Lytechinus pictus: one gene and its partner. The protein of the gene in region 1 purifies or fractionates together with the protein of each later gene. This does not show direct contact. Links are inferred from orthologs where the notes say so. Each region holds a gene or a part of one and is shown in the gene's direction. Other genes may lie near its edges.

Region 1 (17,468 bases):
CAACCACTGGTTATCTGGTGCCTCAGCTAATAATTGATTAAAAGTTAACCAACTGCAGGTTGTCACTATTTTCATTCAGCTTGACCATCCCCCTCCCTTTAAAAATCCTGTGTATGCTACTTTGAAGAAATATTAGAGAAAAAAAAAGATGAATAGAATTCATTCATTAGAATTAAAGGGATGGTCCGGGCTGAAAATATTTATATCTTAATACATAGAGTAGAATTCACTGAGCAAAATGCCGAAAATTTCATCAAAATCGGATAACAAATATTAAAGTTATTGAAGTTTAAAGTTTAGCAATATTTTGTGAAAACAGCCATCATGAATATTCATTAGGTGGGCTGATGATGTCACATCTCCACTTTCCGTTTTCTTATGTTATTACATAAAATCATAATTTTTTCATTATTTTATACTTGTGTGAATAATATGTCTCCCTTATAATGAAATAAGTTGCAGCAATAAATATCTAATGCACTATATCAGTTGTCAATCAAATTTGTCTAGTTCTTGGAGAAAAAATTTGAATAAACTTAATTTCATATAATAAAATACAAAAGAACAAGTGGGGGTGTGACATCATCAGCCTACCTAATGAATATTCATGACAACTGTTTTTACAAAATATTGTTAAACTTTAAAATTCAATAACTTTGTAATTTGTTATCCGATTTTGATGAAATTTTCGGCATTTTGCTCAGTGAATTCTACTCTATTTATTAAGCTATAAATACTTTCAGCCCGGACCATCCCTTTAATGAGTGGATCATTGATACATGTAGGTATAATATTTAAAATTGACTATAGAAATGACAGTAATATGACAATTAAATGTAAGAATCATAGAATAAAAATGGAGTCTTAATAGGGATATATTTTGTGTCATAAATCCTGATTCAGATGAACTTGGAAAAATATTGGTTGTAATTTCTAGATAGCAAGGGATCTCAGATGGAAAAAATGTATATAAAAAAATAACAAACTCCATGGGTTATGCCAAAACAAACAGGATCAGGTTCATAGCGTACATGTGTGGGTGGGGGAAGCACAAAAACAGAGGGGAAATCTGGGTCTTTAATGGAGACTAAGTAGTCAGGGGGGCCTTGTGTGCATATGAAATGGAGTGTGTTTTGTGTGTGTGAATAATTCTGTCTGCATGTCAGCCTTTAGTACTACGCCACCCACCAATATCATGAGAAGAGATCGTACATACTCAGCAAGAAGTGAGAGGTGTGCATCTCTGCTCCAAGCTCAGGATGTCTACTTCCGCTTTTTTTTATCTCAGGGTTTTTATTTTCAAGCAGCAGTAGGGTAACATTACTACATAACCAATGATCAGCCATGTTCATGAAATTCTACATGACTCCATGACACTGTAAACAAGATACAAGGAAATCATTCCTATTCATGGATACAATGAACATTTAGGCCTAAAAAAAACTTCATAAAATTGTGAATCAAATCCTGCAAACGTCACTTTATATATTCAACTTTTTGTAGATTATGGCAATATTGCTTTAATATATTGAATATATATTGAAATGTAAAAAAAAGGTTCACATCTTCATTAGATAAAAAGGGCCCACAATTCTTATGCTGGTAACGTGGGTCATCCTCCAGAGTGGTCATGTAGCACTTGATAGATAGAGCCTGCAACCTCCTGCGTGTGATGGGAGTCACACCTTCATTTATAGATGGTCACTTGATAGATAGGGCCCAACCCTCCTGCTTGTGATGGGAGTCACATCTTCATTAGATAGTCACTTGATAGATAGGGCCCCCAACCCTCCTGCTTGTAATGGGAGTCACATCTTCATTAGATAGTCACTTGATAGATAGTGCCCGTAACCCTCCTGCTTGTGATGGGAGTCACATCTTCATTAGATAGTCACTTGATAGATAGGGCCCCAACCTTCCTGCTTGTGATGGGATTCAAATCTTCATTAGATAGTCACTTGATAGATAGGGGCCCAACCCTCCTGCTTGTAATAAGAGTCACATCTTCATTAGATAGTCACTTGATTGGTAGGGCCCCAACCCTCCTGCTTGTAATGGGAGTCACATCTTCATTAGATAGTCACTTGTTAGATAGGGGCCCAACCCTCCTGCTTGTAATAAGAGTCACATCTTCATTAGATAGTCACTTGATAGATAGGGCCCCCAACCCTCCTGCTTGTAATGGGAGTCACATCTTCATTAGATAGTCACTTCATAGATAGGGGCCCAACCCTCCTGCTTGTAATAAGAGTCACATCTTCATTAGATAGTCACTTGATAGGTAGGGCCCCAACCCTCCTGCTTGTAATAAGAGTCACATCTTCATTAGATAGTCACTTGATAGATAGGGCCCCCAACCCTCCTGCTTGTAATGGGAGTCACATCTTCATTAGATAGTCACTTGATAGATAGTGCCCGTAACCCTCCTGCTTGTGATGGGAGTCACATCTTCATTAGATAGTCACTTGATAGATAAGGCCCCAACCCTCCTGCTTGTGATGGGAGTCACATCTTCATTAGATAGTCACTTGATAGATAGTGCCCATAACCCTCCTGCTTGTGATGGGAGTCACATCTTCATTAGATAGTCACTTGATAGATAGGGCCCCCAACCCTCCTGCTTGTAATGGGAGTCACATCTTCATTAGTAGGGTGTCTGGAGAAAAAAATTATTTTTCTTATTTCAAGAAAATATCACATTTTCTTTGTGAATTTGAAGAGAAATGACCTTCAGACTGACAGAAATGTAACATTAAAAAAAAAATCAAATTATTGGCTGCAAAAAAGAAGAATGAAATTAGGTCAATTTTCAGCATTTCTCTGCCATAGACTGTGTAGTTAAGAAATGGACACACACAAATCCAAATTTTTAGCTTCCGAGAGCTGTTATAAATTTGTTATTAATGCCAAAAACTTTTCCATAAAGAGTCAAATATGATTTTTCATGCTCTTTCTGATGGTATGATTTTTATAAAGATTTGGAAACCAGATCACAATGAAAAATTGCGACAAAGTGAAAAAAATTGTGCAAAACAGAAATGTTATTTTCCCATAGAAAACGCATGGGGAAATGGCAATCTCAACACACACACAAATAAGGGTTTGCAATTTATCTCTAAATCCTTATTTCAAATAATCCTATAAACTTGTCCTTACTGTCAAAAGAAGCCCCTGAACTTTCTCTTTCCATACATGCCATATACAAGTTAATAATCAATTCAGATCACATTTTTCTAGCAGCCTGAATTTCCCCCAAAAATGTGCCATATTTTCCCTAAAATCAGCCTGTTTTATGCTGACACTTTTCAGTGTGGCTTCAGACACCCTATCATTAGATAGTCACTTGATAGATAGGGCCCCCAACCCTCCTGCTTGTGAAAGGAGTCACATCTCCATGGATAGTCACTTGATAGATAGGGCCCCCATCCCTCCTGCTTGTGATGGGAGTCACATCTTCATGGATAGTCACTTGATAGATAGGGGCCCCAACCCTCCTGCTTGTGATGGGAGTCACATCTTCATTAGATATTCACTTGATAGGTAGGGTCCCAACCCTCCTGCTTGTAATAAGAGTCACATCTTCGTTAGAAGGTCACTTGATAGGTAGGGTCCCAACCCTCCTGCTTGTAATAAGAGTCACATCTTCACTAGATAGCCACTTGATAGATAGGGTCCCAACCCTCCTGCTTGTAATAAGAGTCACATCTTCATTAGATAGTCACTTGATAGATAGTGCCCGTAACCCTCCTGCCTGTGATGGGAGTCACATCTTCATTAGATAGTCACTTGATAGAAAGGGTCCCCAACCCTCCTGCTTGTAATAAGAGTCACATCTTCATTAGATAGTCACTTGATAGATAGTGCCCGTAACCCTCCTGCCTGTGATGGGAGTCACATCTTCATTAGATAGTCACTTGATAGAAAGGCACTTTTTCTTCTCATTCCTCTTTAAAAATGTTAATAGGTAGTTGTTACCAGCTTTATATAATACTCCTTTTCTCAGAAGATACATGTACTTGTTACACTTCTGAATCAGTAAAGAAAAACTGAAAAAATTGATCGATAAAATAGAATAAAATAAATAAATGATTAAATAAATTAATAAATCAAATAAAAACAAATACATGAATCAATGATTAAATAAAATACATTAATATATAGGTAAATCCATTAATTTTTTAATATATGAATGAACAAATAGGATTTAAATGATGATACAAATACCGGTATATTTATTAATGAATAATTTCAGCAGCTTATCTCCAAGGCTGTGCACATAAGGGATGTTTCAATGTATTCATTGTAAAATCTGAATATATTGCCGGTCAGTATTCTTTCTCCATATACCTGTATCGTGCTGCATAAAGGTTAGAGGAAATAAATGTTTACCCCAGGAAGATTGAGCTAATGTTTTAAAGTCTAGATCATCCATTCTCTCATGATTACCTCATCATTAACATGTATGATTAACTCATAAACCTCGTACACTCATAGGCGCATGATATTGGGCTCATTGCAAATTGGTAGCCTACCATAAAAGTGTTTGATACAAAAGTGAAAAGCAATCTTCGACATGTCCTAAATTTCCATAGGGGAAAGGTTGATGTGATTACATGCAGCTATTTAGTGTAGTAATGTTTATTCTATTATCCAATATTTTGACATACACCTATACTTGTACTTATTTCAATTATTTGTGACATGAATTTGCTTTGTTTCGATGTGCAATAAATTTTCAAAGATGGATGAGGCAAAGTACAAGTGCAAAATTAGCCAGTTAATGTCACAGTGAAATGGCAAAATATGAAAATGAGTTACTGAACTGGAAAATGAATAATTATTTGAAAATAATTTGTTGTTACAAAGTATTGCCATCATTTGTCTACAAATGAGTATGAAGTGAATAAGAGTGCAGTCTGGCATAGAGGCTAAAGGTAGATTGTTTGTGCAGGTCTTTATTACTCCATCAAACCCATCCAATGTGCAGTGCTCCGCTATCAAATGTCACGAGTCTGTATCAATAAAATCCATGATTCTATATTACACCAAATATTGCTCAATGAATCGTTCACATATGTGCGCCAATATTGTCTGATGGAGCGTTCACTTATGTGTTTTGATATTGCTCTTATACTAGCGTTCACATGTGTGTGCACAGATACTTCTCTGTTGTATACATGTGTGCTGGTATTTGTAATGACAGCATTCTACTAGCGTATCATACAATGTTTGTAAACCTTACATGTACATGCTGTAGCGTATGAGGCGCCGAATGTACCAATATTATATAGAACAATTATTTGTTATATAATCATTATTTATTAAATAATAACTATTATTTATATATAATTTACATTTTATTTGTAAATAACTACTATTATATAAAATATCATTTCTAATTATTTATATATAATTCCAAGTAATACTTCATTATTTGTAAATAATAATAGTTCGACATTCCATTATTTATAAATAATGATTATTTGTTTTTCATTATTTATAAATAATGATTATTTGTTTTTCATTATTTATAAATAATGATTATTTGTTTTTCATTATTTATAAATAATGATTATTTGTTTTTCATTATTTATAAATAATGATTATTTGTTTTTCATTATTTATAAAATAATGATTATTTGTTTTTCATTATTTACAAATAATGATTATTTGTTTTTCATTATTTATAAATAATGATTATTTGTTTTTCATTATTTATAAATAATTTGTTGAGTTTTCCATTATTTATAAATAATGATTATTTGTTAAATAATGAAAACGTCTACTTCATTATTTATAAATAATTTTTTCGAGTGCACCATTATTCTCATTATTTATAAATAATCATTATTTAATGTTCGAGTTTTCCATTATTTATAAATAATCATTATTTATATACAAATAACCATTATTTATTAAATAATGCCATTATTTATTAAATAATGCCATTATTTATTAAATAATGGAAAACTCGCTATAACATGCAAATGTGGGACCGCCCATGATATGAATATTCATGATGCGATTTCCTTTTTCGTGATTTTTCTTCACAAATTTTTGTCCATTTCCTCTTCATAATGACATTTCTTGAAGCAATTTTCTAGGGATATGGTCTGATTGTAATATTCTTCATTTTCTATATAACTTCGTCTTCGTAGAAATATCAAAAAGTGTAATTTTATACGATTTTTCCTACAGTTCACAATCCCCATAGGCGCGCGTGTACGGTAGGGACAACCGGTGAATCGACGGAGTGCTCTTCATCGAAATACTACGTTGGTTGGTCCCCGGAAGTGGCGGGCGGAATTTAGCCCGAATCCTCGATGGAAGTCGATCAAGTGCATATGAGCTGAGAGAGTGAAATATCAGTGTACTTGTACAGGCCCTTCTACTTTTTATAAATATTTCTTGTTGCTTTTTTTGTTAAGTTAATTTTTCCTGGTGTAGAAATAAGTTTCAGTTCTAATAATGCACTTCAAATACATTTTGGAGTGTCTGTTTGAGGCGTTTGGGGCGATTTCACCCTGGCCCCAAAATGCTCGCAACGACAATACGGGGGCATGATGACCCCTAATTTTTTAAAAACTTATTTTTCTATTGAAAATTATCACAAAATTCACCAAAAGTGTGCACGAAAGCCTTCGTATTTCACTTTTAAAACTCCAAAAAGTGCCCAAATGACAAGCTTGGTCGCTTCGCTGTGTCGCTTTCAACTTGAGAACGTTTACGCGTCTGCTTCCCCCCCCCCCCCCCCCCCTCCTCCGAAAGAAATTCTGTGAACAGCCATGCTCTAAAGAGCCTGGCACATTGATTTATGTATACTTCATTTTCATTATTTTTATCTCATTATCATCATGGCCTTACGCAGAATTTTTTCCGGGGGGGGGTGGGGGGAGCAGGACGCGCGTAAACTTTCTCATAAAAATCTTGAGAAAGCGAAGCGACCAAGCTTGTCATTTGAGCTTGGTCGCGTCGCTGTCTCGCTTTCAAGATTTTTTGAGAAACTTTACGCGCGTCCTAGCTGCCCCCCCCCCCCCCCCCCCGGTAAAAATTCTGTGTAAGGCCATGATGATAATGTGATAAAAATAATGAAAATGAAAAGTACATATAAATCAATGTGCCATATGCTCTTTTGAGCATGGCTGTTCACAGAATTTCTTTCGGGGGGTGGGGGCAGACGCGTGTAAACGTTCTCAAGTTGAAAGCGAGACAGCGAAGCGACAAAGCTTGTCATTTGGGCTTGGTCCCGTGGCTGTCTCGCTTTCAAGATTTTTTTGAGAAAGTTTACGCGCGTCATGCTCCGGCCCCGGCCCCCCTGGAAAAAATTCTGCGTAAGGCCATGTTGATAATGAGATAAAAATAATGAAAATGAAAGTATACATAAATCAATGTGCCAGGCTCTTTAGAGCATGGCCGTATACAGAATTTCTTTCGGAGGAGGGGGGGGGGGGGGAGCAGACGCGTAAACGTTCTCAAGTTGAAAGCGACACAGCGAAGCGACCAAGCTTGTCATTTGGGCACTTTTCGGAGTTTTAAAAGTGAAATACGAAGGCTTTCGTGCACACTTTTGGTGAATTTTGTGATAATTTTCAATAGAAAAATAAGTTTTTAAAAATTAAGGGGTCATCATGCCCCCGTATTGTCGTTGCGAGCATTTTGGGGCCAGGGTGAAATCGCCCCAAACGCCTCAAACAGACACTCCAAAATGTATTTGAAGTGCATTATTAGAACTGAAACTTATTTCTACACCAGGAAAAATTAACTTAACAAAAAAAGCAACAAGAAATATTTATAAAAAGTAGAAGGGCCTGTACAAGTACACTGATATTTCACTCTCTCAGCTCATATGCACTTGATCGACTTCCATCGAGGATTCGGGCTAAATTCCGCCCGCCACTTCCGGGGACCAACCAACGTAGTATTTCGATGAAGAGCACTCCGTCGATTCACCGGTTGTCCCTACCGTACACGCGCGCCTATGGGGATTGTGAACTGTAGGAAAAATCGTATAAAATTACACTTTTTGATATTTCTACGAAGACGAAGTTATATAGAAAATGAAGAATATTACAATCAGACCATATCCCTAGAAAATTGCTTCAAGAAATGTCATTATGAAGAGGAAATGGACAAAAATTTGTGAAGAAAAATCACGAAAAAGGAAATCGCATCATGAATATTCATATCATGGGCGGTCCCACATTTGCATGTTATAGCGAGTTTTCCATTATTTAATAAATAATGGCATTATTTAATAAATAATGGCATTATTTAATAAATAATGGTTATTTGTATATAAATAATGATTATTTATAAATAATGGAAAACTCGAACATTAAATAATGATTATTTATAAATAATGAGAATAATGGTGCACTCGAAAAAATTATTTATAAATAATGAAGTAGACGTTTTCATTATTTAACAAATAATCATTATTTATAAATAATGGAAAACTCAACAAATTATTTATAAATAATGAAAAACAAATAATCATTATTTATAAATAATGAAAAACAAATAATCATTATTTGTAAATAATGAAAAACAAATAATCATTATTTATAAATAATGAAAAACAAATAATCATTATTTATAAATAATGAAAAACAAATAATCATTATTTATAAATAATGAAAAACAAATAATCATTATTTATAAATAATGAAAAACAAATAATCATTATTTACAAATAATGAAAAACAAATAATCATTATTTATAAATAATGGAATGTCGAACTATTATTATTTACAAATAATGAAGTATTACTTGGAATTATATATAAATAATTAGAAATGATATTTTATATAATAGTAGTTATTTACAAATAAAATGTAAATTATATATAAATAATAGTTATTATTTAATAAATAATGATTATATAACAAATAATTGTTCTATATAATATTGGTACATTCGGCGCCTCATAGTAGCATTCATACAGTAAAGGTACCTGATAAACATTCCTTGAAATAATTTGTTCTATTGCATTCGGTACATTGTTGGATGAACTGATTACATATTACCAGCAAACCATAGGCCCTCATAATCAAGGAAGGAAACTTCACATTAGTACAGAAATAAATTACAAGTATGAACAGTACATCCATAGGACCTGTAGTTTTCTACATTCGGTTGCCAAAACAAAACAGAAAGTACATATACATGTAGTCTCTGATTAAGAGATGGACTTTCTGAACAGGTTCTGACTCAACCTTTGATATATACAGTATATAATATGTGCAGGCCCTATGGTTAAATTTTTTTTTAAGTACACAAGTGTTCCCTTCACAGATGATTTATCTAGTGTAATTGAAACTTTTTCCAATTTTACTCTGTGTGAATTGGTATTATGATATCTACTGCTGATGTGAAACTAGTATGTACAAATTAAGAGATGGTGTATTTTTTGTAAAACATATATGTAATGATATAGCCTTTGAAACAAGAAATCAGTATTAATTGAAAGCAAGTGTTTTGTTTGTAGTCTTTTTTTTTTGGGGGGGGTGGATTGATAGTTGTATTTGTAATAAAAAGAAATTCTTACAAATTTTCACAATTTGTGGATGAGCTGTAAAAGAAGATTAGCAGTAGGTTGCATCTTCCCCTCCGCCTTTCCCTTTTCCCTCTCTTTAAAGGAGATAATTTGTCATTGTTCTGGTGTTGTTTAGTCGTACATGTAATCAACATTACCACCACCACCAATATGAAACTGATCATTATCATAATCACCACCACTACCATTACCACAATGCTCACCATCACTACGACCATCATCACTTTTTATCATCATTGAAATCATCATCATCATTTATCAAATCACCTACACCACCATAATTTTTCCTCCTCATCACTCCACCCCCTTCCTCTATTTCTTAGTGCCCTCATCCCAGAAAAAAACTTCACAACTTAGAGGCATATTTAATTATTTTTTTCCTTATTTTATTTTCCATTTGCAGAAGTCAAAGATGAATTGGAGGAGTTGATGAGTGACATCAAGAAAACAGCAAACAAAGTCAGAGCAAAATTAAAGAGTAAGTAAACATCACTAACCTTTTCATGAACTCTCATGTTCTAACATCGGTCATCCCTTTCATCGTAACGTATTTCAAATGAAGAAACCATTTACTGTCTCTTTGTGTGTAATGCAAAAACAAGGAGATTGTTTTTACAATTTCAATAGTTACGTGTGTAACTTACCATGAACTGGAATTTGAAAGACATTCAATAGTACTGACAATGAAATCAAATGTTATTTAATACAAAAAGAGCTTTTATTTTTAGTAGTGGGAGAGGTGGCACTTAACTGCTCTGTCAGCTAGAATGAAAGTTACTCCATTCACTGTATCGATATTATATTATAAATTACAGACACGGGCAACATTTTTTAAAGCGAAATTGGTGTAGAAATATAAAATATATACTCGAGTCTTGAACTTACATTCAGGTCCCGTGCAATCCACTCACGTGAACAACTAATGGGATTTCCATTCCTATGAATATGTATGAAATCCATATTTATGTTTACTTTTTCTGATGAAAGCTACTTCCTGCATACATTATTAGAGTGATGCATGGAATGTTACTTTTTTCATGTGAAATTTGAATTACAATTTTAGGATATTTACTTTCACAGGGTGGTTGCTATTGGTCATTATGTGTTAGGGTTATCTGTCCTTCCCTTTTCCATTCTCTTGCTGACCAAACAATTGTTTTACATGTAAGTATAGGAGGGATGAAGTATGAAGATCTGATTAGTTAGGGGTATCAATATTAAAGGTCACTATACATGTATTTGGCAATATGTGTGTACAATGTAGAGTGAGGATTATTAGATTTTGGCATCACTAGTTCAGAAGACAAAGGTCACAGCACCACCTCCTCGAAAGAATATGTGCTGTGACAGATTGAAAAAAATTGGGGTCCATCACTTCTGTTTTTGTTGTTAATGTTTTATCTTTATTAGGCATATAATAGCCCCTACATCTTTTTTTTTCATGCATGCAGCAGGGAATACCTGCTACAGCTCCTCACATATATTTGTAAGAGACATACAGTACATGTATGCATCCAGATACATAGAGATTAAGGTTCAGTCAGTTGTAAGTGCCCTCTGCTCACAATATTCCATTTTTGGTCAGGGGTTAGGGGGTCCAATGTTCTGATAAATGGTGCAATTGAGAATTAAAAAAATCATCACAAATAAGCATCTGAAAATACACTGTTTGGTAGTTTTTCATGCATTGTTTTATATAGGAAACGTATTTCATCATATAATTATTGTCAGGTTCTTCTGGTCAAGTGCATAAACTTTTAAACTTTTTTGTTATTTCATTCTAATATGCTTTAATCTTTTACAAAACAATTGTCCACTATTGATGCATATCACTACCTGACAAGGTCTAGTTTTTAATCCGACAATAAGAATGAAACCCAAGAGAGTTTTCTAAACCTAAGATGTCCCTATCATTGGTGATGATGATGACACTTCCTAAACCCATAAGACAGAGCATGGCAAGCTATTGCTTCATGTAAATTTATGTGTGACTTTGTGTGTCCTGAAAACTCTGTGAACTCGGTAGTGGCTGGGTAATACAAGTAGTGCCTTGGTAATAAAGCAGCATTTTGAATAGAGGAGGATGGGAAGGGCGGGAGGGTATAGGTGAAAAATGCTCTAAACTGCATAATACATGTACATAGGTCTTTTACACAAAGAGTTTGCGGATTGCGATAATGACCCCCCCCCCCCCCCAAGACTATTCAGATCTTACCATATTTTTGAGAGTTTGAAAAATTAATATCACAATTCATTTCAAGAGTTGATGAATTGCGAACAATAAGTCTTCAAAAAGCAATCATTTAATGGAAGAAATACAGATACACCTGTATGTAAAATGGTATGTGAATAATAATAAATAATTGTATTAAAAGTAAACTTACTTTTCCATGATGTGATTCCAAGCATGAAATGATAATTCTGCTTTTATATAGCACACATTTCATCTAAAATCTGTGATGATGTGTATCTAATTGCTGCTTTACAAATAATGTTTGTAACTTTTAATTAATACACACTTGCTTCATACATGTTTTGCAAAGACATAGATAGATTTGCAATTATGTAGTCCCTCATGATTGTAAAATCCAACAACTTTATTTAAAAAAAAGCATGATACATGTAGGTAGTCATTTTAATAGAACATAAAGTAATAAATGGCATATATTCTAAATAAATCAACTGTCAAATCAATTCAAATCTCTTTTATATTTCAAGTAACTAAGATTAATAATAATTTTTCTCACAAAGCGAAATACGTACTATGAAAAATAAACATCAACATGCTTTTTTTATAATGAACAGTTGGTCAAATGTGCAGGTTCATCTGTTTACGAGTATTCCAAACTAGTGCCAAACATACCTTGTTCTGTGGAGAATAAGGTTTTTATTGTCTCACCTGCATAGCAGAGTGAGACTATAGGCGCCGCTTTTCCGACGGCGGCGGCGACGGCGACGGCGTCAACACCAAATCTTAACCTGAGGTTAAGTTTTTGAAATGACAGCATAACTTAGAAAGTATATGGACCTAGTTCATGAAACTTGGCCATAAGGTTAATCAAGTATTACTGAACATCCTGCCTGAGTTTCATGTCACATGACCAAGGTCAAAGGTCATTTAGGGTCAATGAACTTAGACCATGTTGGGGGAATCAACATCAAAATCTTAACCTAAGGTTAAGTTTTTGAAATGTCATCATAACTTAGAAAATATATGGACCTAGTTCATGAAACTTATACATAAGGTTAATCAAGTATCACTGAACATCCTGCATGAGTTTCACATCACATGACCAAGGTCAAAGGTCATTTAGGGTCAATGAACTTTGGCCGAATTGGGGGTATCTGTTGAATTACCATCATAACTTTGAAAGTTTATGGATCTGATTCATGAAACTTGGACATAATAGTAATCAAGTATTACTGAACATCCTGTGCAAGTTTCAGGTCACATGATCAAGGTCAAAGGTCATTTAGGGTCAATGAACTTTGGCCAAATTGGGGTATTTGTTGAATTACAGCCATAAATTTGAAAGTGTGTTGGTCTAGTTCATAAAACTTGGACATAATAGTAATCAAGTATCACTGAACATCCTGTGCGAGTTTCAGGTCACATGATCAAGGTCAAAGGTCATGTAAGGTCAAAGAACGTTGGCCACGTTGGGGGTATTTGTTGAATTGCCATCATATCTCTATAAGTGTATTGGTCTAGTTCATAAAACGTGGAAATAAGAGTAACCAAGTATCACTGAACATCTTGTGCGAGTTATAGTAGTTTTCAAAATCAGCACTGCTGCTATATTGAATCGCGTGATGCAGGTGAGACGGCCAGAGGCATTCCACTTGTTTTAAAAAAGGGACCAAAAATAACAACAGGAATATTTATAAATAGTATAAATAGATGGTACAACTGTACATGTAATTGATCATAGGGATTTGCTTTCTCAATTTTAAATTTGGGATACTAAAAACAAAACTGGTTTGTAAGGCAAAATATTGCTTATATTCTAACAAAGAAGAGTTTTTACACATTGTCTTGTGCAGAATATTCTATATGTAACGGTGAAAATGTATATGGGCTAATGTATGTGCATAATATTTGCAAATAAGTTTAAAATAAGTTTCATAAGAGTCATGGTGTTCATTACAAAATGTAGTTTAGAAGGATCCTAAATTTGGAAAATAGCCCCTATACTGAAAATCTTTTAATTTTTTCACTGGCCCCCATAAGACCTTTATTGAAAAGATGGGGACATGTTTGCTTTACATATACCCATGCATGCATTGTGATGTAGTCTGGATGAGAGCTTCTTCATCTCAATGCCACGGCACTGACACCATCCCAGTTGCCTCCATCTCCATCATAATGTCAAAACCAGCGACCTATCCTCCACGAGTAGTCTCTACCATTTCATACTGTAATTCAAAACTCTCTCTTCATCATTTCCCAAACCCAATCAATACCGCTTCTCTCACATTTAAGGATCAATAATCGGGCTTGATTCGTGGCCAAAACGGGAGAAACTGCGTGTACTTGCATTGAGCATTGAGCATTTTTCAATCTTATTTAGACCCGGCGTCCTGTAGGATGGAGTGAGTTTTGAGATACAATTACATTGAGTGAGCCATGATTGAAATGAACACAAGGGGATGTGCATATGTAGACTATCCGTATACATTATAAATACAGCCTTTTGCAAATTTGATAAGGAATTTTATGCCAAGCCAATTTAGTTGGCATAGGCATGTCCTATGCATGACTCGTAGGCATCGTTATGAAGAATATTTGGGGCCTTGATATATCATCAATGCTAGAGGAAAAAATATATTGGAGTAATCTACTTTTCATGGATAATATTAAGATGGCATTTCAATCAGAAAGAATGAGTTTTATAAGAGAGTTTATTGAATTCCTGTGATGTAGTGTATATGGGAAGCAAAATACAAATCTGGTTCATGATTTTCACTCTGTATATTCTGTGAATTATAATAGTATTTTAGCTCTGAATAACCTAAATAACTTGCTGCTTTTTACATACATTCAACCTATACTAATTTTACAAGTACTTAGGCCTATAGGCTCTAGTATTGACAATGGCATTGGTAATTTACTGTGTGTAGCAATTCTTTTCATTCGTTTCAATTTATTTTGGAATTCTATAGCATTTTTTCAATGTTTTGTTATAAACTTATGTCTGCACATTGTTTAAAACAAGTTTTTAATCATTTTTTGTATTGAAAACGAATAATGATCAGTTGTTTAATTTTTCTGTTGAGATTATAATGCTTCAATACTCTAATGTATTTTTAGTCGAATAACTTCCATTCTTGACCTTGCTGCGCATTAATCTCTTTATCCTACTATATTTGTTACCCATGAACTTGGAAATTGTACACAATTTTACAGCTTTTCTTTGTGTCTGTATGTATGTATATATATATATATATGAGTTTTCTTAAATTCACTGAATATTAATATTGAAAATAATGATAATGAACATAACTTGTATAATGCTCTATTGTCAGACATGTTAGCATTCTGACAATTTCTGTTATGTTTTTCTTTTACTGCTTTACTTGTCAGTGTTATTTATTGAATTTCTTTAGAAACTCAAAGCCTTACTGTTATTGTAATTATATATTTTATTCGAGAATTCCATCATTTCTTCCACTCAAATGTCATGCTAGAGGGTCATGTGGTTTCTGACTGCTATGAATCAGACTTCCATAGTATCATTAAAATCAGCTTTAGAAAAATAATACATCACAATCTGTTTAAATATATCTATCCTTCACATTTTCTTTCATACACCAAAACCACTATAAACTTATTTCATCTGTCAAAAATGTTTATTTATCATTACGCTCACCTTATTTGATATTACAAGAAGCTTAAAATAAAGCAAGTTATTCTTGGATTTAATACTGAAAGCAAATATTGTGAAGCTTAGGCATTATTTCTCACTCCTCCTCCATGTACACCTTTTCTCAGTCTTCTATAACAACAATGTTTTCCATCTTCTCTCTCCCTTCCTCCCAGTTTGGCCTCCTCCCTACGTCCCTTTCTCAGGGTATCAGAATCATCTCTCAAGCGATGATTGGCCACTCTGATGATTAATAACTTCCCATTTGCTCTCTTTACACTGAGCGATAGAATCTCCCAATGGTTAATGTAGTATAGTCGTCTCAGCAGTACTGGTCTTTGCCCTGCTATATAAACATCTATCCATCCATTCTATATTTTGTATCTTTTCTTTGGATATCTCTTCACTTTCATACAATCCATTTACTGTTTTTATTTTTTGTATCCCTTTATCTTACCATTTCTTCATGAAGAAGCCCTTATTTCTCACTAATATCACAATCTGTTCACCTATCAATCTCTCTATCACCATATCAGATATCAGACACTTGACAGCTAGGAGCCCTACTGTCATACATCACTGTGTCCTAATGAGAATGGAGTCCAGAGAAACCAAATTCAATGCTTCACTGAACCGCTCCAATTAAAGCTACACTCTTAGATTGCTGCCATATCAATTCTTACTTCTCATTTACTACCAGTTTTGGTCAAGATTTTAGAAGAAAAAATTGCAAATCCTAGCTTTTCCAAAGCAATTTTAAATGTGCATAATGTGGCTCTGATAATACAGTGAATGTGTAGTTATCCTTTAATAGTACTTGGACTTAAAGACCCAGACTGGAGGTAAAAGTGAAATTGACAAAATGGAAATTATGTAAGCTCCATACTACAACTATGTAAGTTTTAAATTTTATGCATATTTACCGCTTGACAGCTGAGTATTTTGCGAAAGAAAAGCTCAAATTAACCGTTTCAACAAAAGGCTTTTCAAGCCTGAATTGCATGACGTCACATTGTTCAGAAGGGTTGTTTTTCCATAGGTTTGTACACGCGTAGAAAAAAAAATTATATTTTCAGATTTTAGATGCAATTTTTTTTCTTCAATTTTCAGTGGAAAATGGCCCTGACAATTTTCAGTGCTCAAATGAATGAAAATCTATTACTCTTCATAAGAATGGGGGGGGGGGGATTTCTTTGTTTAGGCCTAAATTGCTATGCTCCGAAAAGTTAGTGGTAGCCAATTTATCAGTGCTTAGCTGTGATTGGATATTAGCGCTACTTGTATTATCATCCTTGACTTGACCGGGTTTCTTTTCTCAACATTACTCTTAACCCCGGACTATCATGCAATTGCCCAGCTAACCTTGCTGTTTTCTAGGGCAAATTATCTTGTTCTATACATGTTACAGATGGGTTAGCCCACTTTGCAACAATGTGTTGAGAAAAAAAAATTGGACTAAGCTAAACCCTAGACTATAGGTTTGGCTAACTTGCAATTTAAACCTACCTATAGTTATGGGGTCAAGGAAAATTTTGCTCGTGAGAAAAGGGTATTTAGAAGTATTAAATACAACTTTCTTTTGTGTCAGTCATGTTCACGTATACATGGCTGTCAGATATTTCACCAGAACTTGGCACATTGCACAGCCTTCCTATATGCAGCCATTGGGTCTTTAATTAGAGATAAACAGATGTGTACATGTATACTGTTAATCAAGAAGAATATGGGTATTTATACATTTCATTAAGATAATCACGTATTGATTTTTTACTCAAAATATTTCAATGGTTTCATAGATTACAATAAAAGATGTCCATATACCATAAATTTGAGTCTAGGCTGTTGTTGATAATTAAAAGGTTTATTTTATAGCTTCCTTTTTACATCCATTCCATTGATGATCTTTTTTTTAATATTTTATTTGCACGATAGGCCTATGGGTCCAGCATGGATTTTTTTTGGTCTGTGTGCAAAACTATTTCAATTTTTAAGCACTTTGTCAAGATTCATTTTACAAACATTTAAAAAGAAGATGGTCCCTTTGGAA
Region 2 (17,203 bases), about 430 kb from region 1:
CTATAAGAGCAAATTCAATATAAAGACAATTTTAAACAAATTTGACAAATAAATCTCAGATATGAATTTACTCCTTATCCTTTTATCAAATCCATATTCCGCACAAATTGCTTGTTAAATGCACTTAGACCAGGGAGGAGGGAGCTTAGACACTGCTATTTTACCTCGCTCACTAATTTTAAACTTTCTGCTATTTCCAAAAATACGATTTCTATACTGGTCCTTTTTGGATCTCACTGCTACATTTTTACACTTTCACCACAATGAGAAATATATCTTTGTAGTGCCTTAAATTCAAATATTTTCTCTAACAAAATACATATGTATCAGATAATTTTTATGACCAAACATGTACGTGTACAGATTCAACCGTATCCCTTTTCTGAATTTCTTTGTTTTACAATGTACGGTGTGAAACTGTCAACTCCAAAATACATGTAGCCAAATAAAGGTTTACCAGGTGACACTCTGGGCAGATTGGCCAGGTCCGGCCCCTGTGGAACCTTGTCAGGTAATGCTTCTTCATTATGCTTTGCCACACAATCACTAATAACTTGTGGACTTATGACTAAATGGTGAGGTAAGTACAATGAGGTTATATCTTCTAATTGTTCTGTCTTATTAACTTTCATTATAGAGTAGTTACTTAGCATATGTTCTACGTCCACTTGGTGTTTCTTCTGAAGTGTATCATCTATCAGTAATCTCTTGGGTGACGACTGCAAACGCTGTTCTGCAGTCAAAATGTCGTCTGGTAGTTTTGGCGTTTTCTTCTCAAATGACGTTGGCGATAGGTTGTGAACTCCATCCTTTTTACCACTACTCTCCCGGAAAGCTGACGCATTACTAACATTGACGGACGAAACCTTGTCCTTCTGAAGAACTTCTGAGCTTTCATTCTTCCTGAATCTCTGAAGTCTGCCATCCTCCAGTTTGATGTCGCTACCAACAAAGCTTGTAGTAGCTGTGTGTATGTCTTCTGGCATCTTGGGCTGGACAGGACCACTTACTGCCCATCCTAATTTGGTTCTTACAGCATAAGGTCCATCCTCGGATGCTCTAATTTCTATAGGTATCAATGCTCCAGGCACATCTTGTCCGATCAAAAGTCCAACTTCATGTTGTGTGACGATAGGAATGTTGATTCCTTCTAGGTGGTTGCATCCTCTGATGTCTTCCATCTTGGCAATGTGAGATTCTTTGACGTTGATTGACTCTCTTGTATATACACATGGTAACTTCACTATCTCTGTATCTTTGCCTGTGTCTACTATGAGGCTAACAACTGATGTATCTACTGTGCTGTTAGATCTTCCAAGTGTTGATAGATTTAGACTTTGCTTCCTTTCCACTGCATTAAGTTGTCTGGATAGGGCTGCTGTACAAAACGTGCTGGTAGAACCAGTGTCTAGGAGAGCATAAGTTTCAACAGACTTGCTCTCGTTGTGAGCCCTTACCGTAACTGGAACGATGGGAAGTACACACCTACCGGTCCCTGTGACCGATTTATCAATGAAGCTATTCTGAGCTGTTTGGATTTCATCAAGTGGCGTTTGAGTGGAAGAAGATCTCAAGTGTTTATTTGGTTGAGGCTGATTCTCTATCTCTTGATGCGGAGTACCTCTTTCAGGTGACAAGCTTTCCCGAAATAAGTGGAGAAACTTTGTATGTTTTCTCTGACATCCTGGTACTGAGCATGTTCGGTTCAACTTACAAATTCTGCTGGTGTGACCGTGTTGCAAGCAATTGAAACATAGTCTGTTCTCTTGTGCAAATTTAAATCTCTCATCAGGTGTCATGGACTTAAAGCTGTCACAACCAAACAAGGTATGGTCTTGATAACACTTGAAGCACTTCTTGGGCTTAGGAAAGCTTGAATTATCAGTGACTGCTGTAGAGTAGCTGCTCTTTGAATGTTGCTTGTTGAAGCTTGGTTTAGATGCTGATCTTGGAGAAGTCGCAGTCAGCTCACCGAAGACTGGATCGTTAACTTCTTCGGCGGCATCAGATACAAACTTCACCATGTCAGTGATATCTGGAGATCGACCTCTTTGCCTAATGTCTCTCACTACTTTCAACCATCTAGCTTTGAGATGAAATGGTAGTCTTTCTGCCAGTTTGACCAGCTCTCTGTTACTGCTGATTTCCTTTGTCAGATTCAATGCCTTAAGAGTCTCAAGACATACCTGTAATTCGTCAGCAAACTTGCGTAGTCCAGTTCTATCATTTGCATGAAGTGCTGAACCATTAGTTATCTGTTCAATCCATGCTTCTCCTATCTTAAATCTACTGCCAAAGCGTTCTCTCAGTAATTCTCTGGCGCGTTGATATCCTAGCACTGGATCCATTACCATACAACACTGTATGATGTTCTTTACATCCCCTTCACAGCACTGATACAACTTCATGAGCTTTGTCCCTCTGTCTAGTGTAGACGAGCCTATCAAATTATCAAAACATGCCATGAACTCATGATAGTGTAAAGGGTTACCGTTAAACTTCATGATTTCCACATTTGACAGGCTTATTGCTTCCAACAAACGATGCTGTATTTGCTGATACTGATACAAATCTTGGTTGTGCTGCGGGTATGGCATTGTGTCTTCCAAATTCTCCTGACGTACATTGTTGCCATGCTCGCTGGCCTGAATCTGTGGCTGAATGGGCTGCTGCTGTTGACCAAGTTCTTCACTTGTGGGTTCTATCTTAATGTCGAGTTGACTGGGATGCTGATCAAATTGTTCATATACAGCCTCTTCTGCTGCTGCAACTTTGAGCTTAGTTTCTAACATAAACTGTGCCTTCTTTTGCTGTAGATGAAATTCTTGAAGCTCTAACTCATGCTGTTCCCTCAAGGATGCTAGCTCTGCTGCCAGGGCTGCCTTCTTGGCCTTCGTCTTTATCCTTGATGACGCTGTTGAACTCTTACCACCTTGGCTGGCCGAGTCCTCGGACTTGATACTTTCAGATGATCCACTCATGGCGACTGTTCTTGATGGTGACGGTGACGACTGTTCTTACGGTGACAATGTTATTGAACTTTATGTGACGTATAACTACTAGTGACTTGACAGTAGACAGTACTCAAACAAAAGACTCGGTGACGCGGAATTTCCAGTTATCATACGATGCATCAAATATACAATCTGGGCATACCATCTAGCATACCATCGAGCATACCATCGAGCATGTTCAATCTGTAGCATAAAAATATAAACAAACAATAATAAGCATCTGTATATGCAGTTACATTTATGTACTTGCATGAGATAAATAAATAGTCTATGTATTGCACAAATTATTTGTGACGTTTGAATCTTGCATAAATAAATATTCTGGTTTCCTGTAACAAATTTACCTGTCAAATTCTGTCAATGTATTCAAATGACCTTGAATAAACTTTGCTATATGCGGTTAAATAAACAAAACCTTTACTTTGTCTCATTTGTCCTTTATATCAACTACGATACTTAAATATTACCTTGCCTCTAAACTATATACTCTGGGGCATTATTGACTAGCAATAACTTTACTCAAACCAAATAACTAGGCTTTCATTTCACCTTCACTGTATGTGTTATTTGTAATTATCAGGGCTTTAAAATGCACCAAAAACTGGCTTTAATGCCTTATTTCCAAACTCATACATATACTGTATCCTTTTCAACAACTAGAGCCAAATGTAGCTAACAAAGAACAACATTTGTTTATTTGACATTCCATTTCGTTTACAACTCTGAACATGAATAGCCTACTATGCACTGTGTGCGAGATTACCACACAGTACCGTACCAATATGCTATTACGCAACACTCTTCATGTGCATGTCCAATTACCTATTAATGTACAATGTCAATATACGTTTATCACACCTGTATTCTATACGTTAACTCCAAACACTTTCACCAAAGTTATGAGCTAAATTAACAACAAATTAATTATCGTCTCGAGTTAATTTTGGTTCCATATATTCAGTTAAACATTACATTACGGAAATATAAAGGTCCTTTTACTTACAACATTGGACTTGTACCGATTATCTTGAATTCTACTGTAAAGTCACGACGGGCTGAACTTTAAATCTTTGTCGATCTTGGCAAGGCAAATTTCCAACGCCCTCTATCGACCCAGATAAATGATACTACGACCCAATAACGTCTCTGACGTCATGTTAAATATTTCAAAGAAAAAATACACTTTCTAAATCTTACACCCTTTTTTCATTATTTTTGTGTTTTTGACACCCTTATCACGTTACGTACGTAACGTGCCCTATCGTGAAAAAGACATCCTTTTTACGTGTTTTTTTGGTCGCGCATGGTATCCACTCGTCAATGTAAGTGGCCCCCCCGGGGCAGCTGGTCTTGGGGCCCTGGGGCCCGTTTCTCAACACATGGACAAGTTAGTCATATCTTTATCCACCAACCACGGAGTTAGTTCCAATCTTACTAAACCTGTTTCTCGAAAGGCTTCCTAACTAGAATACCTTGATATCGATACTATCGGTAAAAAGAGCAGACGAGACGTAGCCTTAGTCACAAAATAGCATAATTTTCAAAAAGAAAAATTATTACAAAATTGCAAATATTATGATGAATTGGGAAATAAATCTTTTCAAAATAATAGCACAGGTGAATTATGCATCATACATACTTAGACCATGAAGACTGGAGCATTCAATTTCAGAGAAAATAATTCATTTCATGACTAAAAAATCACTTGTGGACGTTGAGATGGGTACCCCCGGGAGACCCAATTTTAATAGTTTACGAAAGTAAACCATAACGGTTTTCTTTGTAAAATGATGATAATTATACGGACCATTACGATTCCAAACGTCATCAAAATATAGTTAACGAAACATTTTTGTCTCACCTGCATAGCAGAGTGAGACTATAGGCGCCGCTTTTCCGACGGCGACGGCGGCGGCGACGGCGGCGGCGGCGGCGTCAACACCAAATCTTAACCTGAGGTTAAGTTTTTGAAATGACAGCATAACTTAGAAAGTATATGGACCTAGTTCATGAAACTTGGCCATAAGGTTAATCAAGTATTACTGAACATCCTGCCTGAGTTTCATGTCACATGACCAAGGTCAAAGGTCATTTAGGGGCAATGAACTTAGACCATGTTGGGGGAATCAACATCAAAATCTTAACCTAAGGTTAAGTTTTTGAAATGTCATCATAACTTAGAAAATATATGGACCTAGTTCATGAAACTTATACATAAGGTCAATCAAGTATCACTGAACATCTTGCATGAGTTTCACGTCACATGACCAAGGTCAAAGGTCATTTAGGGTCAATGAACTTTGGCCGAATTGGGGGTATCTGTTGAATTACCATCATAACCTTAAAAGTTTATGGATCTGATTCATGAAACTTGGACATAATAGTAATCAAGTATTACTGAACATCCTGTGCAAGTTTCAGGTCACATGATCAAGGTCAAAGGTCATTTAGGGTCAATGAACTTTGGCCAAATTGGGGTATTTGTTGAATTACAGCCATAAATTTGAAAGTGTGTTGGTCTAGTTCATAAAACTTGGACATAAGAGTAATCAAGTATCACTGAACATCCTGTGCGAGTTTCAGGTCACATGATCAAGGTCAAAGGTCATGTAAGGTCAAAGAACTTTGGCCACGTTGGGGGTATTTGTTGAATTGCCATCATATCTCTATAAGTGTATTGGTCTAGTTCATAAAACGTGGAAATAAGAGTAACCAAGTATCACTGAACATCTTGTGCGAGTTATAGTAGTTTTCAAAATCAGCACTGCTGCTATATTGAATCGCGTGATGCAGGTGAGACGGCCAGAGGCATTCCACTTGTTAATAATTGATACCGAAAGATACGATATTGGACAAATTATATGCATAAATTAGAGATAGAATTCATCCAACTGTTAATAGGGGTCTGAAAACAACAAATACGAGTTCTGTTATGGATGGCCTGACGTGGTAGAACTAGAATCTTTATCGATTAAATCATTTTACTATTTCAAAATTAATGGTTTTGTGGCGTTTACCAACAGTTTTTATAGTTTCTTTGTATTACAATTATCATTGAATGCATTAACCCACTTGTTTTGTGATGTAATTTCAATCTCTATGATTGATTATGTAAGATTATAATTTTAAAATTTCTAGGCACTTTCGCATGTCATAGTCTACCCACGTGATGCCACTACGTCATTAAGAAAGAAGTTAAGACAGGTTCGGAGGTGTCATAAATATTTAGTGAGGTTGTTGTACCCGATCTTGGTAAAGAGGGCTTCGTGAAACGGTTAGCGGACAAGTAGCTCACTATCTCCGATTTAGTCAAGAAGTTAGACTTATGACGGTGTTGAGAAACGGGCCCCTGTTTCATAAAGCTGTTCACTATGTTTAAAAGTTAGAGTGACTTCAACAACTGGCATGACCATGATTACTGGTGATCCTTGTGGTAAATGATATTCACCATTTATTTGATCATGTTAATGATTGATGATTATTTAATGTAAGATACTAAGAAGAAGGTTCACCAGTCATTCCTAACTAAAGACTTAAAGGAGAATGAAACTCTTGGAGCAAGTTAGCTTTTGTGAAAGCAGAAAAATCAAAGAATAAGATCAACAAAACTTTGAGTAAAATAGGACTAGCAATAAAAGAGTTATGAGCATTTGAATGTCGAGATCACTAATGCTATGTAGATCCTCCCATTGGCAATGCGACCAAGATCTGTGATGTCACGCACGTACAACTCTCCCATTCGGACACTGAAAATATACCCCAAAACATATCTTTTTGCTCATTCTAATCATATGACAAACGATTCATCAATGATATAATGTTGTGAAACCTCTGTACTTGTCATCTCATAAAGAAAACACATAACCTTGTGATAGACTCTATAAAAGTGAGAATATAAGTGAAATAAGTACTAAAGTAATGAGGGAGTTGTACGTGTGTGATATCACAGATCTTGGTCGCATTGCCGATGGGAGGATCTACATGGCACTAGTGATCTCAATATTCAAATGCTCATAACTTTCTTATCATTTATTCAATCTTCCTCAAACTTTCAACAATATGTTTCTTTGATTTTTCTCTTTGATATGGATTCAGCTAGTTTCAAGGGTTTCATTCTCCTTTCAGTCACTCTTAACTCACTTGCTCACTGCAACCATCCTGCCTGTGGGATTCTACAGGTAGGACTATGGTTAGACAGGAATAACAATCATTTCTGGGGATTTAACAATTTCTGACATTTTACTATCATCCCCATTCACTGACGGTAGTGTGTTAGTGCGAGCCTGCATATATATATACAGTGCGTCCCAGAAAAAACCAAAGCGAGATTAAGCGATGATTTATCACAACTTAATCACAAATACAATCAACAAATGACCTACCAATGTAAAGCTTAGAATCTCCTCTTTCATCTGATTTTACTTAGATTATTCCTCATTCACGCATGAGTGAGCAAAAACAATTTGAAGAAAGGATGCAAAAAACTCATTTGGCGGGGGGTATCTGAATTTCAAAAAGAAAATCACATGCCTAAAAAGTTCAATATGTGCTCTTGTATTTGATACCTTAATCAGACAAAATGGTCGAGAAGTAAAAAAAGTTATGTTCCCTCGAAACAATGCTTGTATTTCCATAATTTCATTAAATAAACGTGTTTTCATCGGTTTCCCACAGAAGCTATCGCATGGTTAACAAAAGACTTAACATGCTTAATGCATGGCTGATCGTCAACAAAACGGAGTGTCAAGAAGTGAGTTTGAACGCTAGCCTGTAGAACCTCTTCATTTTATGAAATTATTGAAATTCAAGCCTTATTTCAAATAACCAGAACTTTGTTATTTCCTGAACATTTTCTGTAATTGAGGTATCAAATTAAAGAGCAGATATTAAACTTTTTAAAAATGTGGTTTTCTTTTTGAAACCCAGATACAGTCTGCCAAATGACTTTGGTATCCCCTCTTCAAATTGTTTTTGCTCACTCATGCGTGAATGAGAAATAATCTAAGTAATTTCAGATAAGGGGAGATTGTAAGCTTTACAATTGTAGGTCATTTGTCTATTGTATTTGTGATTAAGATATGATAAATCACCAATAAATCTCGGCTTCGTTTTTTGTGGGACGCACTGTATATATATATATATATATAAAAGAAAAAGAAGGTTAGATGATTTCCTGTGTTTGAATCAGTGTAGGAAAAACATATTGTGATGGGTAATTTTGCCCAACTTGCCTCCTAAAATTCTTCAAATCAAAAACTTTGGGATGACGCTCTTCTCTCAAGTTGCCCTAAGATCTGCCACAAACAATATTGAAAAATATGTAGAAAATCAGTATATTCAATATGGCAGAATAACCATATAATTGCCTACTGTGCAAGAAAGTAGCACCTTGAAATTAAAAAAAAGCCCCAGAATTCAGCAATCACCCCAATATGAAAAAAAAAATGGTCCTTATGAAATGAAAATAATTTATTGATTGTATGTTTGATGATATCCCAAATTAGAGGAAATTGAAGTAGGGAAAAATTCTACTTTGTAATCACAAATTATGTATATTTTCATATTAAAAAAAAAAACCTATGCAGGAACTTTTACACCAAGGTGAACAACTCAAGAGAGTGGACACCAAACTGGACAAGATGGACAAAGACCTTGATACATCTAAGAAACATATCACATCAATGAAATCAATATTTGGAGGCATTGTAAACTACTTCAACAAACCCAAAGCTGGCCAGCAGGAGCAGCAAGCCCCGTCACACGGTTCTAGCAACCTTAAGACACACATGGAGAGGGTGGAAGCAGAGGAAGAGATGAGAAGAGCTAACTCTGATCATCCTGCTCTGAAGCTCAGAGGGGTGGGTGCTTCGGAGCCCAGTGCAGGTTCTTGGGGCTCATCTTGTACAGGAGGATTTGGAGGGGAGAATGATGGTGGAATGTCTAGCAGTAACGTGTTGCAGTCACATAGTATGAGGGACTTTGATAATCATCTCAATTCTAATCTAGGTAAGCTATATATTGTAGTGACAAACTGAAAATGAAATGGACTACATATGACTTTTCTACAAAGCACAAAATTGGAGAAGTAATGAGATAGAGAATAAAAGAAAGAGACCTGGGGGCCGTTTCATAAAGCTGTTCGTACATGTAGGTTAAGAGCAACTTTATTAAGAAAGACTGGTGAGCCTTTCTTACGCGCTGAATAATCACCAATGGTGTATACCATTTACCAATAGAAAGGATCACCAGTCGTTCTTAAAGTTGCTCTTATCTTACAAACAGCCTTATGAAACGCCCACCAGGTAATACATGTATAATAAGATATCATGTTTGTTCTAGAAAATAAGTCAGAAAAAAAAAATCTTGGAACCAGACAGATATGAATTTGTTTTCTATTGATTGGTAGGCATGTCTCTACCACCAGGCCATTTCTAGTCCATGGCACAGCACATACACGGATCTAGACTAGATTTGCCAGAGGCATACCACTTGTTCAGATTAAATACACAATCTTATTTTATCGAGAGCAAACCAGCATTGTCTCTGTATAAGGTATTTTTTGCAACTGCAATAGGGACAGATTCAAGAACACAGTAAATATATTGAAAGTGCCTGTCAATGACAAAGAACAGCTGGGAGGTCTTTGTTGAATATTGATGAACCGGAACAGAAGTTTAGTCCTAAGTTCTAGAGCTGACAAAAAATTGCAAATTTGTCGTTTGTCCTGACTCCAAGATGAAACTGCCATTGTGATTCACCAAGTTTTGGTTGTGCTATGTCATGGATATATTTTCTATGTTCTTTAATCTGTTGTGCGTCATGGAAGCAAAAACTAGATTATTGACATTTCCCCCAACAAACAATTTACAACTCTGCTAAATCAGCAACATTGCCACATGATTAATTCCATTCTGAAAAGTAGGTCAGATCAGATGAATTTAGATTTGCTGAAAGTTTATATTTGTTCATTATTATGAAAAATATTTTCTTTTAAAGGGGAATCCAACCCAAATAAAAACTTGTTTTTATAAGAAAAAGAAAAATCAGACAAGTTTATAGGTGAAAGTTTGAACAATATTGGACAAACAACAAGAAAGTTATGAATTTTTAAAAGTTGTAAATATTGGTAATCACTATACTCATGGAGACTTCAAATTGGCCGCATATGGGATGTCATAGTGATGTAAGGCAAGGACTACTCTTCCATGTACTCCAATACATATTATGGCTAAAATGTCATTTTTCCCAAAAGTTTTATTTCAAATTATATTTTTCTTTCATGAGGACATTAAACAATATACTACCTGGGTTATATTTAGATTACTGCCCCAGGGGAATGGGTACTTAGGAGAAAACCACAAATCCCTGATAATAAAGTACATGGCCTATGGGAAAGTTGTCCTTGCCCCTTGTCATAATTTACTTACCCAGTTGCCAATTTGAAATCTACATACTATTAGTGATCTTAATTTTAAAGCAGCTATAACTTTCTTATTGCTTGTCCGATTTCTTTCAAACTTTCACCATTCTGTTTAATTTATTTTTCTCCTTCCCAACACAACATTTTATGGCAAAGGCTGGATTCCCTGAAATCAGAATTTCTTGGAGGAGATCTTAAGTTGAATCATGGATCTATTTTAGATAGACATTCAACGTGATTCTTTGATCAAAGGAGATTTGCTGCCTAGAGATTATCTCTAGTCTTAATCAGAACATATAGGTGATGTGATAGTTGCGACTACCAAGGGTCATCAGATCATAATACAAAGAAACAGTTTTCCAGACCTTGGTTTTGTTGGCTAAATTGAGAAAAAGACAATTTTTATGATATGAAATATTACTTGGTCCCAGGCCTGCTTGGTCCGCAAACTTCCACACATAAATATAATTACTTCAATAACATTGAGAGATACATGATCTCTACACATGTGCCTTTTGTCTCTGGAATATTAGGAGGAAACTTGGAAATTGGGATTATAAATGATACACAATCAGTCACCGTTTTTTCTTATCTTAAAATATGCATATAAATCGCAATAGAACACATGGAAATAAGATTACCAAAGGTTAACCAGAACTTCCTAATGCCTCATGTTTCATGAAAATTAATTAAATTAAATTAATCTTTTTAATGAAAATTTTGCATTGTCTTGTTTCCTTTGAGGATAATGATACTTTCTGATTGCTGATAATTCTCAATTTTTTTTTTCTGATTTGTTAACAAAGGGAAAGTGGAACACTCTTCTTCTACATCAATACCAATTAGTGGTGTAGTAATCTAGTTGTATGATTTGTTTCCTTCATTGGCTTACACTAAGGTAGTCTACAGTTTTCTAATGTCTGTAGATAGTGTTTCCTCCATCCCTTCCTTCACCCATTTCATTCAGGAAATGAGTGATGAGTTTTGATTTGTCTTTGCAGTAGAACTCCTTGAATGATGAATTGAAAATGACTTTTGAAATCCATATTCATTGAAACTGAGTATTCATAATATTAATCATACCTATTGAATTAAAAATCCTTATTAACATGGCTAGAAATTGTTACAGTTCCATTTTCTAACAACTTGGACAAGAAACAATTCAATTTACTTATACATGTAGACTCATGAAGATTGAATATTTCTTAACTGCATTTAATGAAATATACCCCCATTAGGAATAAATACCTTGATGAATGTTTGATTGCCTATATGGGTAGCACTGCTAAAGCCAGTGTAATATAGCAGCGCTCTGTACCCTCTGGCAAAAAGCGATTTATAAATCCAGCTATTGTTATTATCATTATTATTAATGCTAGAAATTTGATTTGAAAGTATAGAATTTATGGCAAGAGAGAAATTTGAAAAAGAGTAGAGTCAAAATAGAGGTAATTTTTATTGTTATATTGATTAAACAGCATAGAAATTGTGTTTAGATTTATTTTCCTGTCATCTGAGGAATTCCTTAAGAATACATGAAATGTAAACTACACGATGGATTGATGCAAAGTGTAATTTGCATATTTTGTTCAGATTGCATGTTATATTCTTTATATATATATTTTGTAGTTACCATGCATATAACTATCAATGCAATATTTTAAGGTTTTTGCCCTGTTGAAATACATTTATCCTGCTCATTTGATTGTAGATGATTTAGGTAGCAAATTACAATCATTCTTATATTTATCTTCTTCTTCTCCCTATCAACTAGATGAAATTGGCTCAGGTATTGGTCGCCTAAAGGGACTTGCCATGGGATTGAATGATGAACTGGAGAGACAGAATGCTGATATTGACAGGATAACAGGCAAGGTAGAGAGAGTAGATGACAAACTGGGTAAAACAGACAAAGAAGTAAAGAAGATCCTTAGAAGATAATGAAGGCTGGTATCAGGAAACTTGTCAGCCGTCTCTCCTCAGTTAGGTTTAACGATGTGACTATATTATATTTTTTTTATCATCAATGTTTTGCCCCTCGATCATATTTTTGTCAATATCCAGTCAACATGAATTCTCTCATTTCTAGATTATTACATTTGCTGTTTGTGTATCTTTCATGGTAAATATTTTGTTAATTTACCTGTTGTCAATACTCAATGCAGTGGGTGAAAGTTACCAGCACTGACAGTTAACTAATCTACAGACCAGTTCTTCTCAGCCAATCAAATCCAAGGATAAAACCAAATTGTCAGAGCTGCTTATAACTCTCATGTAACACCTTCCAGATGTGTTCATTCTTTAAATACTCTTGCATATTTTAATGATATATTTTGGAATTGTGCTGAAAATTGGGATTTTAGATTTTTTCTATTATTATTGTTATTATTATTGTTGTTGTTTTGTTTATTTGTTTCTGTATTTGTTTTGAGGGGGAGGGGGTCAGTGTTGGTACTTGGCAGGTATGACTTTATGAATTCTTAAATGTTTTTAAGCTTTGTTTGAATGAAGGGTCACTTTCTAAGCCTTGTCACTCATATATGCACCAAAAGTTGTGAAAATTTTCACCTTTCAGCCACATAGTGTTAGTAGCCAATTTGCTTTTAACATATTGAAAGATATGATGGATTTTTCTCAAAGCCAATTCCAGAGGATATGATTACAAGCTATTTTTTGTCTCACCTGCATAGCAGAGTGAGACTATAGGCGCCGCTTTTCCGACGGCGACAGCATCAGCATCAAATCTTAACCGAAGGTTAAGTTTTTGAAATGACAGCATAATTTAGAAAAGTATGGACCTAGTTCATGAAACTTAGACATAAGGTTAATCAAATATTACTGAACATCCTGCCTGAGTTTCAGGTCACATGACCAAGGTCAAAGGTCATTAAGGGTCAATGAACTTAGACCATGTTGGGGAGTCAATATCAAAATCTTAACCTAATGTTTGGTGTTTGAAATGTCATCATAACTTAGACAGTATATGAAACTAGTTCATGAAACTTGGCCACAAAGGTAATCAAATATTTAGTGAATATTGGATGGCCTTGAGTGGGATGCGAAGAAATATTGTACGAGCTGAAGAACAATATTGGATGAGTCGAAGACGAATCGAATATTGTTCTTCAGCGAGTAACAATATTTCTACGCATCCCACGAAAATTGGTCATCCAATATTAGTATTATTATTTAGATACCCCCACAAAGCTAAACATAAAGTAATGAAGCAAAAAAAAAAAGTTTTTAGTAACCATCATCATTTATGGCAATCCTGTAAAGTTCATGAAACTTGGCCAATATCATGAGCATGGCGCCTGAGTATTGTCATTAAAAAAAAAGAAATCTCTGTAGTAAAGTAAAGATGCGCTAGCGTATAGTGCAAGCGCATTTGAATTCAATAAATAAACGCTCCTTTACCACACTTCCTGGCAACTAATACGCAATGCAATTTCATTGTGACGTAACAATAGCTTCATGCGCACATTCATTTATTAACCAATGATAATCTTGTGGGCAGGGCAAAATATTCATTTCGTCCAATATTTTCAATATTGGATGGTTTTTATAGGCATGCACGTTAAAAATCAGTTTTAATATTTTGTCTCTTTGAAACAACCTCGCAAGACATCAAAAAATATCTGCGCCTCTAAAACCCTACATCTAAATGATAATACTGAATATCCTGTCTGAGTTTCAAGTCACATGACCAAGGTCAAAGGTCATTTAGGGTCAATGAACTTTTGCAAAGTTGTGGGTATTTGTTTAATTACCATCATAACTTTGAAAGTTTATGGATCTGATTCATAAAACTTGGACATAAGAGTAATCAAGTATCAATGAACATCCTGTGCGAGTTTCAGGTCACATGACCAAGGCTAAAGGTCATTAAGGTCAATGAACTTTGGCCATGTTAGAAGTAATTATTAATATTAATATTAACTTTCAAAGTTTATGGATATAGTTTATGAATTGTAGAAATTGGGGTAATCAAGTATCACTGACAAGTCTTAGGTCACATGATCAAGGTCAAATGTCATTTAGGGTCAATGAACTTAGTATTGTATCATTATATGAATGGTGTTTTTTGTGAATAATTATTTTATAGTAGTTTTCAATGTCAGCACTGCTGCTATATTGAATGGCGTAATGCAGGTGAGACTGCCAAAGGCGCTCCACTTGTTTAAGAATAATGCCGTGTGCTTGTCCTATCTGGTGCAGAAAATGACAAATCAAATGGATTCAAAAGAATTCAATATAAAGTTTCTGCATCTCTTAACTTTATTTGTACATGTATCTGCACTCTTTGCATTTCATGTAAAGTGATCACTAAGTCTGATATAACAGAATTTTATTGAATTAGCCGGGGTTTGGGGTACATGTAATTGGTTCTACTTTATTTTGCAAAAATTAAAAAAATTGAAAAGTGTAATGTGTTACTAAATACCAATCTTGCGATTGAGCGCACTCATAAGTGACTTACCCCCCCAACTGACGTGACCCACTGTATGCGACTGAAAAGGAGATTATTTGTAAACAAGATGAGGAGATTGTAAAGAAGTAAAGCATGGATGGATAAAGTGATCTATTTTTTATTGCAAATATTCATATATTTGTTAATTATTTTAGGACAATTCAAACCTTTATCTGTAATCTCACTTAAAAATAGAGGCAGCAGCCTCTGGATTGGGGAGGTTACATTTTAATTCCTATACATAAGACCTCGAAGTATCCTGTTTTTCCAACTGTCCAAATCTTGTCACCCTGCGGGGCTATGCAATTTCATACTAGCCTGGACTATATAGGGTTAAGCAGTGTCAAATACAAGTTACTGTAATAAAGTACAATGTATTAAATGTTTACCCAAATCAAAGATACTACAAGGGGAAGATTGGACAGTACATAGACCGCGTAATGAAATGCTCTGGAAGAGCGCCCTACAGCGTTGAGTAAGTAACGACCTTTTTTAACCTTTGCTTATCGCGAGATGGTTGTGTACAAAACATATGAGAGAAGGGGTGAAGGAATAGACGATTTTTACATTTTAGATTTTTTTTTCTTCAATTTTTTCCCCTTGAATTTGAGATGAATATATTTCAGAGGTTTTTTGGTAATAAAACATAGAATTATTCCCATGTGCCACCCTTGAGCCCTCTCCAAACTCCTCCCCTCTCTCATTTCCCCCATATGTTTTATACACAGTCGCGTGCTGATATGCGAGAGTTTACTTACTCAACGCTGTTGGGCGCCCTTCCCCATTTTTATAAGCATTTATCGAGCGTTTCAAAAAATCGTTGAAGTGTCCGTTCTTCCCTTTGTTGTATCTTTGCCCAAATTCAACCAGTCTCCTATATACAGTGCGTCCCCGAAAAAATGTCCCTCTGATATGCGGCTAAATTACTTCAAAAAATAAAAATTATTCTCAATAATATGTATGGAACTACGAAGCTCAAATCATGTTCTAACTTCAATTAAAAATTTCATTGGTCTCGCTTCAGTGGATTTGATTACACAGTCTATTATGTAACAGTGGTGCTTTTCACCCCATTCCAAGTTTGCATGTATGCAGCACTGCTGTGTGTTCTGCACTTTCTAGCATATCAATCAACCCCCTTTGAACATTCTGACCAAGGAATTCCCTGATCTGACCAGGAAAATCTCCATGATCTAACCAAGCTCATCAAATCACAACCTTGAGCATGTTCAGAAGGGCAAAAACAATATTTGACAGTCCATTTCATGTTTGATAACAGGAGATGCACAATGATTAGGACAACAGGTCATGTCTGTTTCATGCCTAATATGGCATTTTTGTTTTCATTACTTTTTTTACTTAATAAGCTACTGTGGTTAAGTTAATTCAATGTAACTTTTAAAAGAAAAAATGTCAAATATTTCTCTGGTAAAGTTCCTTTTCGCAAAGGGTGATTAACTTGTGGATTCCCCTTTATTTTTCAGCTTATTTACTAATCCATTATTCACATTTTCTTTCCAAGATGGTGCACTGATTCCCCTTATCAATCATCAAACAAAATTTAATTTTTATGTTTCTTGTCCTTCTGAACATGCCCAAGTTTATGATTTGATGAGCCTGGATATGATTAGGGAAATGTCCCTGCTCAGATCCTGGATGTAAAAATGGGGGTTAATATGCTATAGACAATGCAGAAATACATCGATGCTGCAAACTTGGAATGGGCTAAAATGCACCACTGTTACGTAACAGAGTGTGTATTCAAAACCGCTGAAGCGCGACCAATGAAATTTTCATAGAAGTTAGATCACGAGATGAGCTTTCCACTCATGAGCATTTATTTGAGAATACTACCACATTTTAGAATTAATTCAGCCCTATGTCAGAGAGACATTTTTTGGGGGACGCGCTGTATATTCTTGATACTAAATCTTAAATAATGTCACATTTAGAATGTTATTCATTTAAGAATAATCATCCTGTTTAGTAATGCATTATTTTAATTCAACATTCTGTTGGCAGTGGGTTACGAGTTCGCCATCATTTTTTAAGCCTAATCTCTCACGATTGCCGTCTCCTGCATTCTTTTAATTGTCATTTTGTTTAATGAGTAATATATTTTGTTAATCCAATGATTATACTACAACTATATGTGACATTTTGCATTTGTATATATTACCTTAATAATATATTACCTTAATAATATTATCTTTATCCAAGTCCTTTGGAAGTGCATAGGGAGTTATAACATAATGTGATATGCGCTATACAAGAACTGCATTATTATTATTATTATTA

The links.
Region 2: the proteins of syntaxin-like (region 1) and synaptosomal-associated protein 29-like purify together in Drosophila melanogaster (affinity purification with mass spectrometry; 3 studies listed by BioGRID, with this or other methods). This does not show direct contact. The link is inferred for Lytechinus pictus from reciprocal best matches to the Drosophila melanogaster genes Syx1A and Snap29.

Annotation. Positions count from the first base shown.
Region 1 is NC_087246.1:4,059,578-4,077,045, reverse strand, and holds the start of syntaxin-like, read left to right. Parts: upstream 1-9,956; 5' UTR 9,957-9,986; coding exon 9,987-10,035; intron 10,036-17,468.
Region 2 is NC_087246.1:3,632,976-3,650,178, forward strand, and holds the start of synaptosomal-associated protein 29-like, read left to right. Parts: upstream 1-8,589; 5' UTR 8,590-8,593; coding exon 8,594-9,020; intron 9,021-12,208; coding exon 12,209-12,375; 3' UTR 12,376-17,203.